Linked DNA regions of Pelodiscus sinensis. Each later gene encodes a partner of the first gene's protein in a complex. Links are inferred from orthologs where the notes say so. Each region holds a gene or a part of one and is shown on either strand. Other genes may lie near its edges. The genes, in order: CC2D2A, MKS1 and AHI1.

What was found.
Region 2: CC2D2A (region 1) and MKS1 share a complex: the UniProt entries of both Homo sapiens proteins name them as parts of the tectonic-like complex. The link is inferred for Pelodiscus sinensis from reciprocal best matches to the Homo sapiens genes CC2D2A and MKS1.
Region 3: CC2D2A (region 1) and AHI1 share a complex: the UniProt entries of both Homo sapiens proteins name them as parts of the tectonic-like complex. The link is inferred for Pelodiscus sinensis from reciprocal best matches to the Homo sapiens genes CC2D2A and AHI1.

What each region holds. Positions count from the first base shown.
Region 1 is NC_134715.1:107,494,388-107,498,134, forward strand, and holds the start of CC2D2A (coiled-coil and C2 domain-containing protein 2A), read right to left. Parts: upstream 2,260-3,747; 5' UTR 1,862-2,259; intron 1,812-1,861; exon of another isoform or gene 1,584-1,811; 5' UTR 1,521-1,583; coding exon 1,484-1,520; intron 1-1,483. UniProt on the Homo sapiens protein: Component of the tectonic-like complex, a complex localized at the transition zone of primary cilia and acting as a barrier that prevents diffusion of transmembrane proteins between the cilia and plasma membranes.
Region 2 is NC_134731.1:16,308,460-16,312,206, reverse strand, and holds the start of MKS1 (tectonic-like complex member MKS1), read left to right. Parts: upstream 1-1,128; 5' UTR 1,129-1,147; coding exon of another isoform or gene 1,148-1,206; coding exon 1,207-1,286; intron 1,287-1,654; coding exon 1,655-1,776; intron 1,777-3,090; coding exon 3,091-3,158; intron 3,159-3,747. UniProt on the Homo sapiens protein: Component of the tectonic-like complex, a complex localized at the transition zone of primary cilia and acting as a barrier that prevents diffusion of transmembrane proteins between the cilia and plasma membranes.
Region 3 is NC_134713.1:96,669,316-96,673,062, forward strand, and holds the start of AHI1 (jouberin), read right to left. Parts: upstream 2,411-3,747; 5' UTR 2,221-2,410; intron 1-2,220. UniProt on the Homo sapiens protein: Involved in vesicle trafficking and required for ciliogenesis, formation of primary non-motile cilium, and recruitment of RAB8A to the basal body of primary cilium.

The DNA.
Region 1 (3,747 bases):
AATACCCTGCCAAAGCCTGCACCTAGAACTCCACAGTAAATGCATGCTCCAAGAGCTGATCAGAGCCCTTCTCACACTCCAGATCCCTTAAGCAAAGACCAGAGCATGTGCACCCAACCGTCTGTCCCAGGCTGATGAAAGAGACTGAGGATGGGCAAGAGAGGGAGGATAGAGGGAGCAGGATCTGGGACTTGGAGAAGGGGTAAGAAGGAAGCGGGAAAAGGGTATTTATATATAAGGTACATATTGGATTGCACTTTCAAAATGTTGGAGCCCCCTGCTCTGAGTTCTCTGACCCATGTCCCCATTGACTACGGGAGGAATCACTAAAATTTCACTTGGCCATGTTGGCGAGGAGTCCTGTGGCACCTTATAGACGAACTGAAGATAGTGCCACAGGACTCCTCAACGATTCTTCATATTCAGACTAACACAGCTACCCCTCCGATACTTGCCCATGTTTGGTGATGAGGATCTGGGACGGAGTTTGGGTGCATGAGGGGTGCTTGCTAGGGGGAGTTTGGGGGACAGGTGTGGGATCTGCCATGGGTCAGGGGATTGCAGTACAGGTGAGGGTGTGGATGGGAGGGACTTTAGCATATCAGCATAGTACACAAGAGAAAGGAGATGCAGTGACTTCTGATAGAGAAACAAAGAGAAAACTATTAAATACTAAAAAAGTGAGAGGCAGAGTTTGAGACAGGAACTGTATGTAGAATATTTCACACTTGTACATATACAGAGGAACGGTGGTGTCTAAGCATTGACCGTCTAGGAATTGGGAGGCCTGTGCCTTTAAGAACTCAAGCCCAGGAGCCCGCCCCCTGCTCGGGGGCTGACAGGCAGCGTCCAGGGAAAATAAAGAAAAAAAAAGACTTTGCCCCTGGAAAACTGATATTTTCAAGGACATCAGGTGGCTTGTCCTGCTGGATGACTGTTCCCACCTCTCCCCCTCCCTAAACGGGGGTTTTCTCCGTGCACAGGGTCTGGCAGTGTCCCCCAGCCCGGGGTTAACCAAGGCTACCACCCCCCACCCCCCTGATTTTTCAAATTTTGCCCCTCTTCTGCAGCTAAAAAAAGAAGATTGATGCCTCCAGCCGGTAAATTTCTGCCCCATGCTCAGAACCAGACACTACCCCCCCTGCAATTTGCCCCCCTTCATCATTTTAAACACCTCCGAAGAGGAGGAAGCAAATCTGAGGAGGCAGTGAGGGCAGAGAGTGGGCAGCGGCTACAGCGAGGGACACTGAGTTTGCTCAGTTCGGGTGCGCATGCTCAGTGCACCCAAAGTAGCAAATTCTGAGAAGTTAGTGTTTTGCTCGCTACACCGGCGCCGCCCCAGTCCCGGAGCTGCCCCAGCAGGCTCCTCCCCCACCCCAAGAAAAGTGGGAGCTGGAGGCGCGGCCACAGCGGCGTCGGAAGCTCGTAGGCAAGGGGTGGAGGCTGCGGCCCGGGAATCCCCCCCGATCACTCAGACACTTACTGCGCGGTGTCCGGGCGCTGGCAGCAGGCGCCGCCATCCCGGCCGGGTCCTCCTCCTCCTCCTCCGCCAGCGAAACAGCGGGACCAACGGCCTCCAGCAGCTGGGGGGGGAGGAGGGGAAAGGAACCGCACGTCAGGGGGCGCTGCACAGCGCGAAGGGCCCCTCCCCGTCACCCGGATGTGCTCCGCGCCCGCCCTGGTCACCGCTCTGCGAGTCCACCGTCCCGCTCCCGCCAGGCAAAGCTCTCTGCGCGGTGCCTAGCAACCCGCCGCCCGCGCTCGCGCGCATGCGCGGCAGGTCTGCTGGCCCTCCGGAGAGGAAGCTGCCGCGGCAACCGACTGCGCGAACGTGAAAGGGTCGCCCCGCCCCCGAACTCACGGGCTGCTTTCTTCCCCGCCTCTGAGCCGTCAGCGTCTGCCTCAGCTGCGCCCCGTGGGCCGGCGCCTCCCGCCCGCCGCGGGAGGGAAAGGCACAGGGGTTAGCCCGCCGTGGGGCTCGGCGGGTGCCGCCAGTGGAGCCCCGCCCTCGTGTTGGGCATCGTCCCACGCAGGGGCGCTAAGCGCGGTGGGAGCTGGGCCCCAGCTCTGCCGGGCGTCGTCTAGTTAACGCGGCTGCTTATCGGCCGGGCCTCGGCTAACTTGCGCTCGGCACTGGGCTCGCGCCTGCAGCTTATCTGCGGGGCCGGCTACCCTCGTGCCGACTCCATGGCATGGAAACCTGCAAACTTCACAGCTCCTCGGGGGCTGCGACATAGAACCGTTAGCTCCGAGTAAAACAACCCTTCGTCACTTCAAGAACAGTTTCACAGTTTTTGAAAACTTGGTGTCGTAACTAACTCACATGATCACAAAGATTGTGCATTTATTTCATATTGCCTATAATTAAAGTGGACTTGTATATAACGTGCATATGGCCATTCCAGTTGCCTTCCATTTAACCTGTCTATGGTACTTGTCTGTCCTTAGATTTTGAACTCAGAGGCAGGACTGTCCTTTTTTGAGTATTTGGAAAATGCCCCCTACACAGCAAGCACTACAATAATTACTAATGTAATATAAAAAGCATCTTATGCTCAATGATTTAGGAATAACATTAAAAACTAGTGTTTGTTAAATATAGTGCATTGTATTATGTTTGATTGATTTGCACAGAAATACATTTTTTCTTAATAGCCACATATAATCCCTATCAATTATAATGAGTCACTTGCATTTACCCAAAGGACAATTAACTCCTATATTACGAAATCTGTATATTACTATTTAGTAACTAGCAAAAGTGTGATATGAACAAAACCCTATCATACTTTTTAGAAAGAAAGAAATGCCCCATAATCCATCTATGCATTTACTGTAACTAATCAGACTAACCTCCATAGCCATAATCTGGGATTCTTCATTGAAATTCATGTTTGCAGCAATTGATACCTGCCTGTAATACAAAAATTATTAAAATCAGATGTACACATTAATGCACAAGCACTCATCATGCAACAGACTTCACAAAGGAATACCTCTGCATCCAGTGGACCCTATTAACTTAGAAGTAACGTTAAAAATATTTAACACTTGAAAAAAACAGTTTTATGGTTTTGAAAACGGAATAATTTCCTGCTATTTGTAGCCAGGACATATGATCTTCAGAATATATCTACAAGGTTTTTTTTATAATTCCCTATAAAAGTGAATCAAGTCGACAAATATAAATTGTGTATGAGTTACCCATTATTGTAAAGCATCTACAAACTGTCCATGATTGGTCCATATACAGTTTATTGCAAGAATGGTGTTCCTTCTCACTTTTAGCTGGTTCATTCTTGCCAAATCTGAAATTTACAGATGTTCCTAAAGCTTTGTCTGCATGATGAAGTTAGTGATTTAATTCAAACTGTTCAGAAAATGATTCAGCCTATATAGGTACACCCTCCATGATTTGTAACTGCTACCTTGATTTAAGAGCTCTGATATCTATTTAGTTTATGTCAGTAAGGAATCAATTTCAAATAAATCTGTTTAAGGCACTCTTAAATCCAAATGAGAGCTCAGGTTACACGGTTGCAAGCTGTATGTACCCTGTTGGATCTCTGCATAAACCTCAACTCCAGATAAGGGATAAATTCCCTCCCTAGTACCTCAGGCTGTGTCCAGACTCAGGGGTTTTTTCGAAAAAAGTAGCCTTTTTTCGAAAAAACCTCACCTGCGTCCAGACTCAAGCCGCGTTCTTTCGAAATTAAATCGAAAGAACGCGGCTTTTCTTTCAATGGC
Region 2 (3,747 bases), on another chromosome or scaffold:
AACATGATAGATGCATTTCTGAAAATGTTTGTGCTAAGCGAAAACGAGCTATGTGGGGTCAATTTTCCCATTAAAAATAATGGAAAAGGTGGGGGTTGCATTTCAGATGGCAATGGCAAAGTCAGTTTTTTGTTGGTGTTAGATCTCTAGCAACACAAGTCACTGCAGTTTGTTAAAACACAAAGATAATCACGAGTGAAGGGAGGAGCACTGTGACCATGTGTACTCATCTGCTCATGCATATTACCACTGTTTTCACAAACTTATACCGCCACATAAAGTAGTCTGCCACTTGATTATTTTTGTGTTATTTTGGGAATGGTTGTGTTATTCGAAAAACATTCCCTAAAAAAAAAATCATGCTATTGCAAAAACGTATTAAGCGGCACATGTTAAATGAGTAATTACTGTAACTGTGGTTCTGGGAGACATCATGCAGATGTGTGTTCCAGCGACCCACCCTCCATTTCCTTTGCATCAGTTTGTTCTTCAGTGCAAAAGAACTGAGAGGGTTGGGACAGTACCACTTCATATAGCCATGGTCCAGGCTATAGCCACAAGATGCAAATTCTCCTGCTCTTGAGCAGATGACATCTGAGCGCTTGTGTCCGTTTGGTTCTCTAGCCAGGACTGTCTCATACAAAGCTTTGCTAGTGAACAACCACCACATAGTCACGCCCAGCTGTATTGGTGAATATTATGCCCAGCCACGCAAAAATCGATGCTGGGTACATGTTCTAGGTCCAGCCTTGCACCCCGGTCCATCCCGTCACTGAACAGAGCAAACGCACAAACGCATTTCTTTGGAAAGGAAATAACCAAGCCAAAGCATTTGTGAGCGCATGGGGATGTCCCACGGCGCTGGTTCGGACACGAGTCTCAGGAGAGAACCTGCAGCTCTCGGGAGTCCGCAGAGCTGGAAAGCCAGGCCGGCCCCCTCCCCGCCCCGCCCCCCAAGGGGGGTCCTTGTCTTTTGACCTAGTGTGCGTCTACTGTGGGGCAAGCGACGTGCCTGTTCCCTGGCTGCCGGGCAAGCCCCCGTCGCAGGCTCTGCGCAGAGCCCGCACCCCTCCCCCCCCGACCCAGCACACCCCCCCGGCCCCCGCAGAGCCCGCACCCCCCCCCGGCCAGGGGAGACGGGCCGCGCATGCTCAGCAGAGGCCCCGCCCATCTCCATGGGGCGCGGACGCGCTTTCGGGCCGGGCCATGGCGGAGCCGTGCTGGAGCGCGGAGGCGGGGGGGGCGGTGTATCGCTCCCGGGACCCCGTGCGGGGCCTGCGCGTCCGGTCAGGGCCCGCGGGGTGTTCCGGGGGGGCGGGGTGTCGTGGGGGGGGCAGGGAGTGTGGGGTGTCGGGGGGTGTGGTGTCGGGGGGGGCGGGGAGTGTGGGGTGTCGGGGGAGGGGTGTGGGGTGTCGTGGGGGGGCAGGGAGTGTGGGGTGTCGGGGGGTGGGGTGTCGGGGGGGGGGCGGGGAGTGTGGGGTGTCGGGGAGTGTGGGGTGTCCCATGGAGGGTACCTGGGCCCCTTTGGGGCGTTGTTGTGGCACAGCAGGCTGGGGTGCCTGGGGAGGGCCCAGGCAAGCGGCCCCTGGCGCCTTCCTCCCTCCCCTGCCCTGGGCAGCCTGCTGACTCCAGCCTGGTGCTCCTCCCTGCCCAGGGTGCATGTCCAGCATGTCACTTCCACCAGCCTGCTCCTGCAGCAGCTCCAGCAGCCCTCTAGCCAGCAGCAGGGGAAGGATCTCATCAGCCTGGCCACCTTCAGCTCCCATCCAGCAACAAGTAGGTGGTTCATGGCTGGTGTCGGATGGGGACCCATCTCTCCTGTGCAAGGCCTCACAATGGCTTCTGCCACTTGGCCGAAGCCCCACTGCACAGGTCGCAGGCAGGGAGAGATGCCGGACTTGCAGCAATCTCAGTGGAGGGGAGATGGCATTTTTACACCTTTCAACCCCACAGAGTACAGGACAGCCTCAGCTTCTCTGGGCTACCTCATATGAAGACCTGTCCTACCTGTGGATGGAACAGGTGCCCCGTTTCTCCCCCTGGATATTCTGATAGTGGTAGGAAGTGCCTCCTTTTCCCAGCCAGGGAGCAACTGGTGAGACAGGGATTTAATACCTGTGGTAGGATAAGGTGTCAGAGTGGGTGCATCTTTGCTAGGGAAAAGGTGTGCCTTGACCTCGTTAGCAACTACAAGGTCAAATCCTAGTGAGGACAAGCCACTTGGTAGTTTTTACATGTTAGCACCTCAGAGTAAAGTCTTGCAAAATACTTGGCTCAATTTGCTAATACATGTGCTGACCGCAGACTTTGGGATTTGATCTTTTTAGTTATCAACTGTTAGTTAATTTGCAATGAGAACACATCTTTTTCTTAGTGAAGAAGCACCTTCCAATTCTTGTTTCTTTTTCTTGGTGCATCATGTTGAAGAAGGAAATTCCACCCTCTTTGACCTTAGGCATTTGTATTGCCAATTGAGCATTATACCTAGTTGCAAAACAGGCTTCCAGGGCTATTCCACTCACAGGGCTCATTGTCTTTTCTCTTGCTGAAAAGTGAGACTGGCTGTGAGCAGAAGAACATAAAAATAGTAACATTGCATCATATCAATGATCCATTTATCCCCATATCTTGTCTTCTAACAGCAGCTGGTACCAGGGGCCCCAGAAGGAATGAACTGAAGAGGCAATCATTAAGTGATTCTTCCCGTCACTTATTCCCAGCTTTTGGGAATCAGAAGCTAGTGATATCCAGAGCATAAGGGTGCATTCCTGATCATCTTGGTTTATAGCCATAGATAACGTTAGCCCCCATGAACTAACAGTGGATATTTCCAGAAAGCCTTTGACAATTTCCCTCACCAAAGGCTCTTAAGTAAAGTAAGTTGTCATGGGATAAGAGGAAAGGTCCTTTCATGGATTGATAACTGGATAAAAGACAGGAACCAAAGGGTAGGAATAAATGATAAGTTTTCAGAGTGGAGAGAGGTAACTAGTGGGGTCCCTCAAGGGTCTATCCTGGAACCAATCCTGTTCAACGTGGAGGGAAGAAGCACATGTGTGAAGAAGTGACCAGCCCCCTATTGTCTTTCAGGTGGCTATCGTGCCGACGATGAGGAAGAGGAGGCCGTGATTGGCTGGCAAGATAAACTCTTCAGCCAGGTGAATAAGCAGAAGGCTGGAAGTGACCCCTCAAGTGGCAGATAGTACTCAGAATAGTATAGTGGATAGTGTGTGTCCAGTGCAAGGGGACTTGGCTTCATCTCCAGGTCCCAGAGCAGAATGGAGGGCCTGTTCCTCTGGCTCACAGTTAGAGATATACGTGCTGCTGCAGTTCAATATGGTTTATATTCTCTAGCCTCTCATGGCCACTGCAGCCTCTAAACTCCACTAGGAGAAAATGGAACATGTTTCTGATTTAGAATTATCCCAACTGCTTGCCTGTGCCATCTTGTCCATGTCTGTAGGGGATGAGTGGAGGGTACTCATTAAACAAGAATGATTAAAGGTCTAGGGTACATGAGCTGTAAAGGAAGACTGAAAGAATTGGGCTTGTTTAGTTTGGAAAAGAAAAGATTAAGAGGGGACATGATAGTGGTTTTCAGGTATCTAAAAGGGTGTCAGAAGGAGGAGGGAGAAAACTTGTTCTTCCTGGTCTCTGAGGATAGAACAAGAGGCAGTGAGCTTAAACTGCAGCAAGGGAGGTTTAGGTTGGACATTAGGAAAAAGTTACTGTCAGGGCGGTTAAACA
Region 3 (3,747 bases), on another chromosome or scaffold:
ATGCCTGGGGTAGAGCAGCTGGGGTGCTGCCGGGTTGGTCCTGCGGGGACCTACCCGGCAGTGCCCCAGCTATTCTGTCCCAGGAGTCCAGATTCAGCCGCTGTTGAAACTGATCAGCGGCTGATTCCAGGAAGCCGGGGGCAGATCAACTCTGCCTAGGGCTTCCTGTAGTCAGCCGCTGATCAGTTTCAGCAGCAGCTGAATCTGGAGCCAGTTCCGACTTACATACAAATTCAACTTAAGAACAAACCTATAGTCCCTATCTTGTACGTAACCCGGGGACTGCCTGTACTTGACTATTCAATTAACTGATATTTAACATCCCTAGTACAGTGGTTGGTTTTGCTCCTGACACTTTTATTTTAGCTGTCATGCAACAAAGATCATATCTGCAGTATGGTCGGAAGTAACACTGGGACACTGGTAAAAAAATTTCTGACAGGTGCAAAAGATAGTTTGCAAGGATCTGAATGTTGCCTCTAACAGCATGGAGAGAGATTCCATGATAGTTTCCACAGGCCACTTTATCCCCTTTCTTAAAAAGGGTAACAATCAAGGTGTCCCTCATTTCACTTGCTATCCTGATTTTCAGGATAAGCAAGCTTAGCTGCTGAATTTACTCTGGTCCACTATCTTTAAAGTTGTCAGCAGGGATCCCATCTGGACCTGCTGTCTTGTTGTTCTTCATCTGCTTAATGGCACTGTATATCTCATGCAAATTGGGAGAGTCTCCAAGCTCATTCCTAGGTCTTTGAGGGATTTGCCCAAGAACTTCATCTGCAACCATGAAATTACGATTAAGACCTTCAAAATGTTTTCTCCACCAAAAATTAATGGTTTAATTGTCCTTTGAAAGTGGGGATGTGAATTCACATCCAGTAGGAATGTGGATGGTTAACCGGCTAACAGGTAAGCCTCACCCATTTGCTACACTTAACTGGTTGAAGCGGGAGGCCCCCTCCATGTAATCGGTTAACTGGTTAAACAATTATTATAACTTGTTAACTAATTAAATGGGACTTTATATCCCTACCACCCAGTTAGTGGTCTTTAGAGGACCTCACTATTAACTTTCCACCTTTCTGAAAACTGACCATTTATTCCTATCCTTTCCCCCCTATCTTTTAACTAGTTACTGATTCAGGACAAGACCTTCCTTTTTATCCCATGACTGGTTATTTTGTTCAAGCACCATTGGTGAGGGAGCCCAAATACACTATATCCACCAGATCACCTTTGTCCATGTTTGTTGATCCCCCCTCTCCTCCCCACATCTCTCCTTCAAATAATTCTAACAGATTGGCAAGACGTGATTTTCCTTGATAAAAGCCATGTTGATTCTTCTTCAAACCGTGTTCACCGATGTGTCTCATAATTCAGTTCTGTATTAGTTTCAACTACTTTGCCCTGTACTGTAACAGCCAGGACCATCTCCAGAGCCTTATTAAAACATTGGCTCTGCAGCATAATCTGCGTTGCCAGCCATTCATTCACTGGAAATTATCTGGGGCCAGGAGAACAGCTCTGGACAGCCCAGCCTCATGCCCCACAGCCCAGGTTATGGGGGTGGCGCCAGCAATGGACATCCGGTATGTAAGGCAGGGGAAGGCTTTACCTTCTCAAACCACCAGGCTTGACCCCACCTACACTCGGCTCCCAGAACGTCTACGCTAGGACTTCTGGGGGTGGAGCGCTGCTGCCCCTATCGACACCCTCCCTGCAGCACTCCACAGCTAGGGGAGACAAGGGCGAGCAGCCACCCCCTCCCCATGGCTGGGCTGCCCCACCTCCCCATGTGGGCAGGGAAAGGGCAGGGCCTCAGCAGAAGGGGCGGGGCTGCAGGTGGGGTGGGGGCTTGTCTCCCCAAGTCCTCCCCCCCTTCACCAGCTACCCACGGTGCCAGGCATCCCTACGCTGAACAAACGCGCCTCCACGGAGTCCTGCCCCAGGACTGGGAAAGCGCAGGGCCCAGGGGAGGCAGCAAAGTGCGAGCGCTGCCCTAGCCCGCGGGAGTCGCTGCACCCCCCCATCCGGGCTCATCCCGGGTGCCTCGGCCAGCAGCGCCCGGCCAGCGCCTCCCGCCGCCAGGGACGCGGGTGCAGTTGCGAGGATCGGGGCCGAGCTCGGGCGTGGGGACGCGTCCAGGGTGGAGACCCAGTTTTCCGCCCCCTCCCACTTTCCCTCCCCGCCAGCGCGCGCAGGGCAGCGGCTCTCACTCACTTCGGCCGGGCTTCTTGCACCGTCTCTAGTTAGGAGTGGCGCGGCGGGTCCCTTCTCCATCCCCCCCCGCCGCCACTTGGTTTCTCCCTCATCCCCCTCCGCCGCCTCGCGCGCTATAGTTTCGCCGACAACAAACAACAGCGTCAGCTGCCAAGGAAACAACGCCTGGCAAACTGCGCCTGCGCTGACAGCGGGACGCGACGTGTTGAATGATCGCTTTACACGCCGGGAAGGAAATAGGGGAACGCACATCCGGGACTTCTTCGGAGGTCACTCTCCCCTCCCGCCCCCCACCAAAAATGCAACGGAAACACACGCGTCACTGCTGAGTCCTGAAGACGGCACGAACACGCGCTACTTAAAATTAAGGGAGGCCGTTGCGGGAGGGAGGGGCAAGGCGCATGCGCTTGAGACTGAGGCAGGGGAAGGAGTTGGGCGAGACGTGGCGCGCGCGCGCAAGAAGTGGGGCGTTCTGATGCCAGCGTGCAGGGCGCCGAGATGGTTTCGCCCCGTGCGCCAGGCTAAGGGCCCTGCCGCCGGTTCTGGCCTTGGCACGGGTCGAGTTCGAGGCCGCCCGCGCTGGCTGAGTGAAGGGAGGGGCCGGGCGTTCTGGGCCTGCCCCAAGCCTAGTAAGCGACGGGAGGGCTCCTGCTGAAACCAGCGGGCCCGTTGCCCGGCCCTTCCCTGCTGCCATGGCGCCCTGCCCGGGGGTCTGGTCAGTTTCACTCGCGCGCTCCCTGCAATAGAGCCCGCCACCTGGCTTAGGAGTGGAGAACTGGCCCCTCAGCCGCGGGCGCCAGAGACCCCTCCTTAAAGTTAGACCCCTTGGATTTCAAACTTGAGGTCACTTGAAAGCGGCATGTCCTGCTCCCAGAGGCAGTTCTTAAACGCAAGGAGATTTTGAGCTGCTCGCAGCTTTGCCTTTGGGGCAGGGAGTTTGTTATAAAAAGAAGGGAGGCAGGTGCTTAAGCATAAGGCTGGGCCTTCCAGTAATTAAGCTCATTAGATCTTCATGAAAACATGGCCAGGCACTCTACAGGTAGTCCCCAACTCACTAACGAGTTAAGCACCAAGCACTTGGTCGTAAAGACGTGTTCATAAGTTGGACCCCATTCATTTCAATGGGACCGTGCTGTTCGTAAGCGTGGATTGCTGTTTGTAAATCGGGGCCGTGCTTAATGGGAAGTTGGTTGTGAGTGCAGCGGGTCGTACGTCGCTGTGTTTGTAAGTTGGGGACTAGTACTTAAAAGATAGGAGAAAAGAAAAGAGGAGGAATGTGAATGACTAGCTAACAGGCTAATTGACTAGTTACTCCCCCCCCCCCCCCTGCCTCTATGAGAAAGAGGCAGTAACGGGGGAAAGAGGAGGAGGTGCTTCAAAGCAGCAGTGGAAGGGGCCCCTCACTTTCCCCTGCTAACCCTGGGCTCCCTGTAGCATTGCTGCTTTGAAACACCACTGGGAGCATGGGGCTAGCAGGAAACTACTGGCACTGTGGGGGGTGTTGCTACACTTCAAAGGCAAGACACC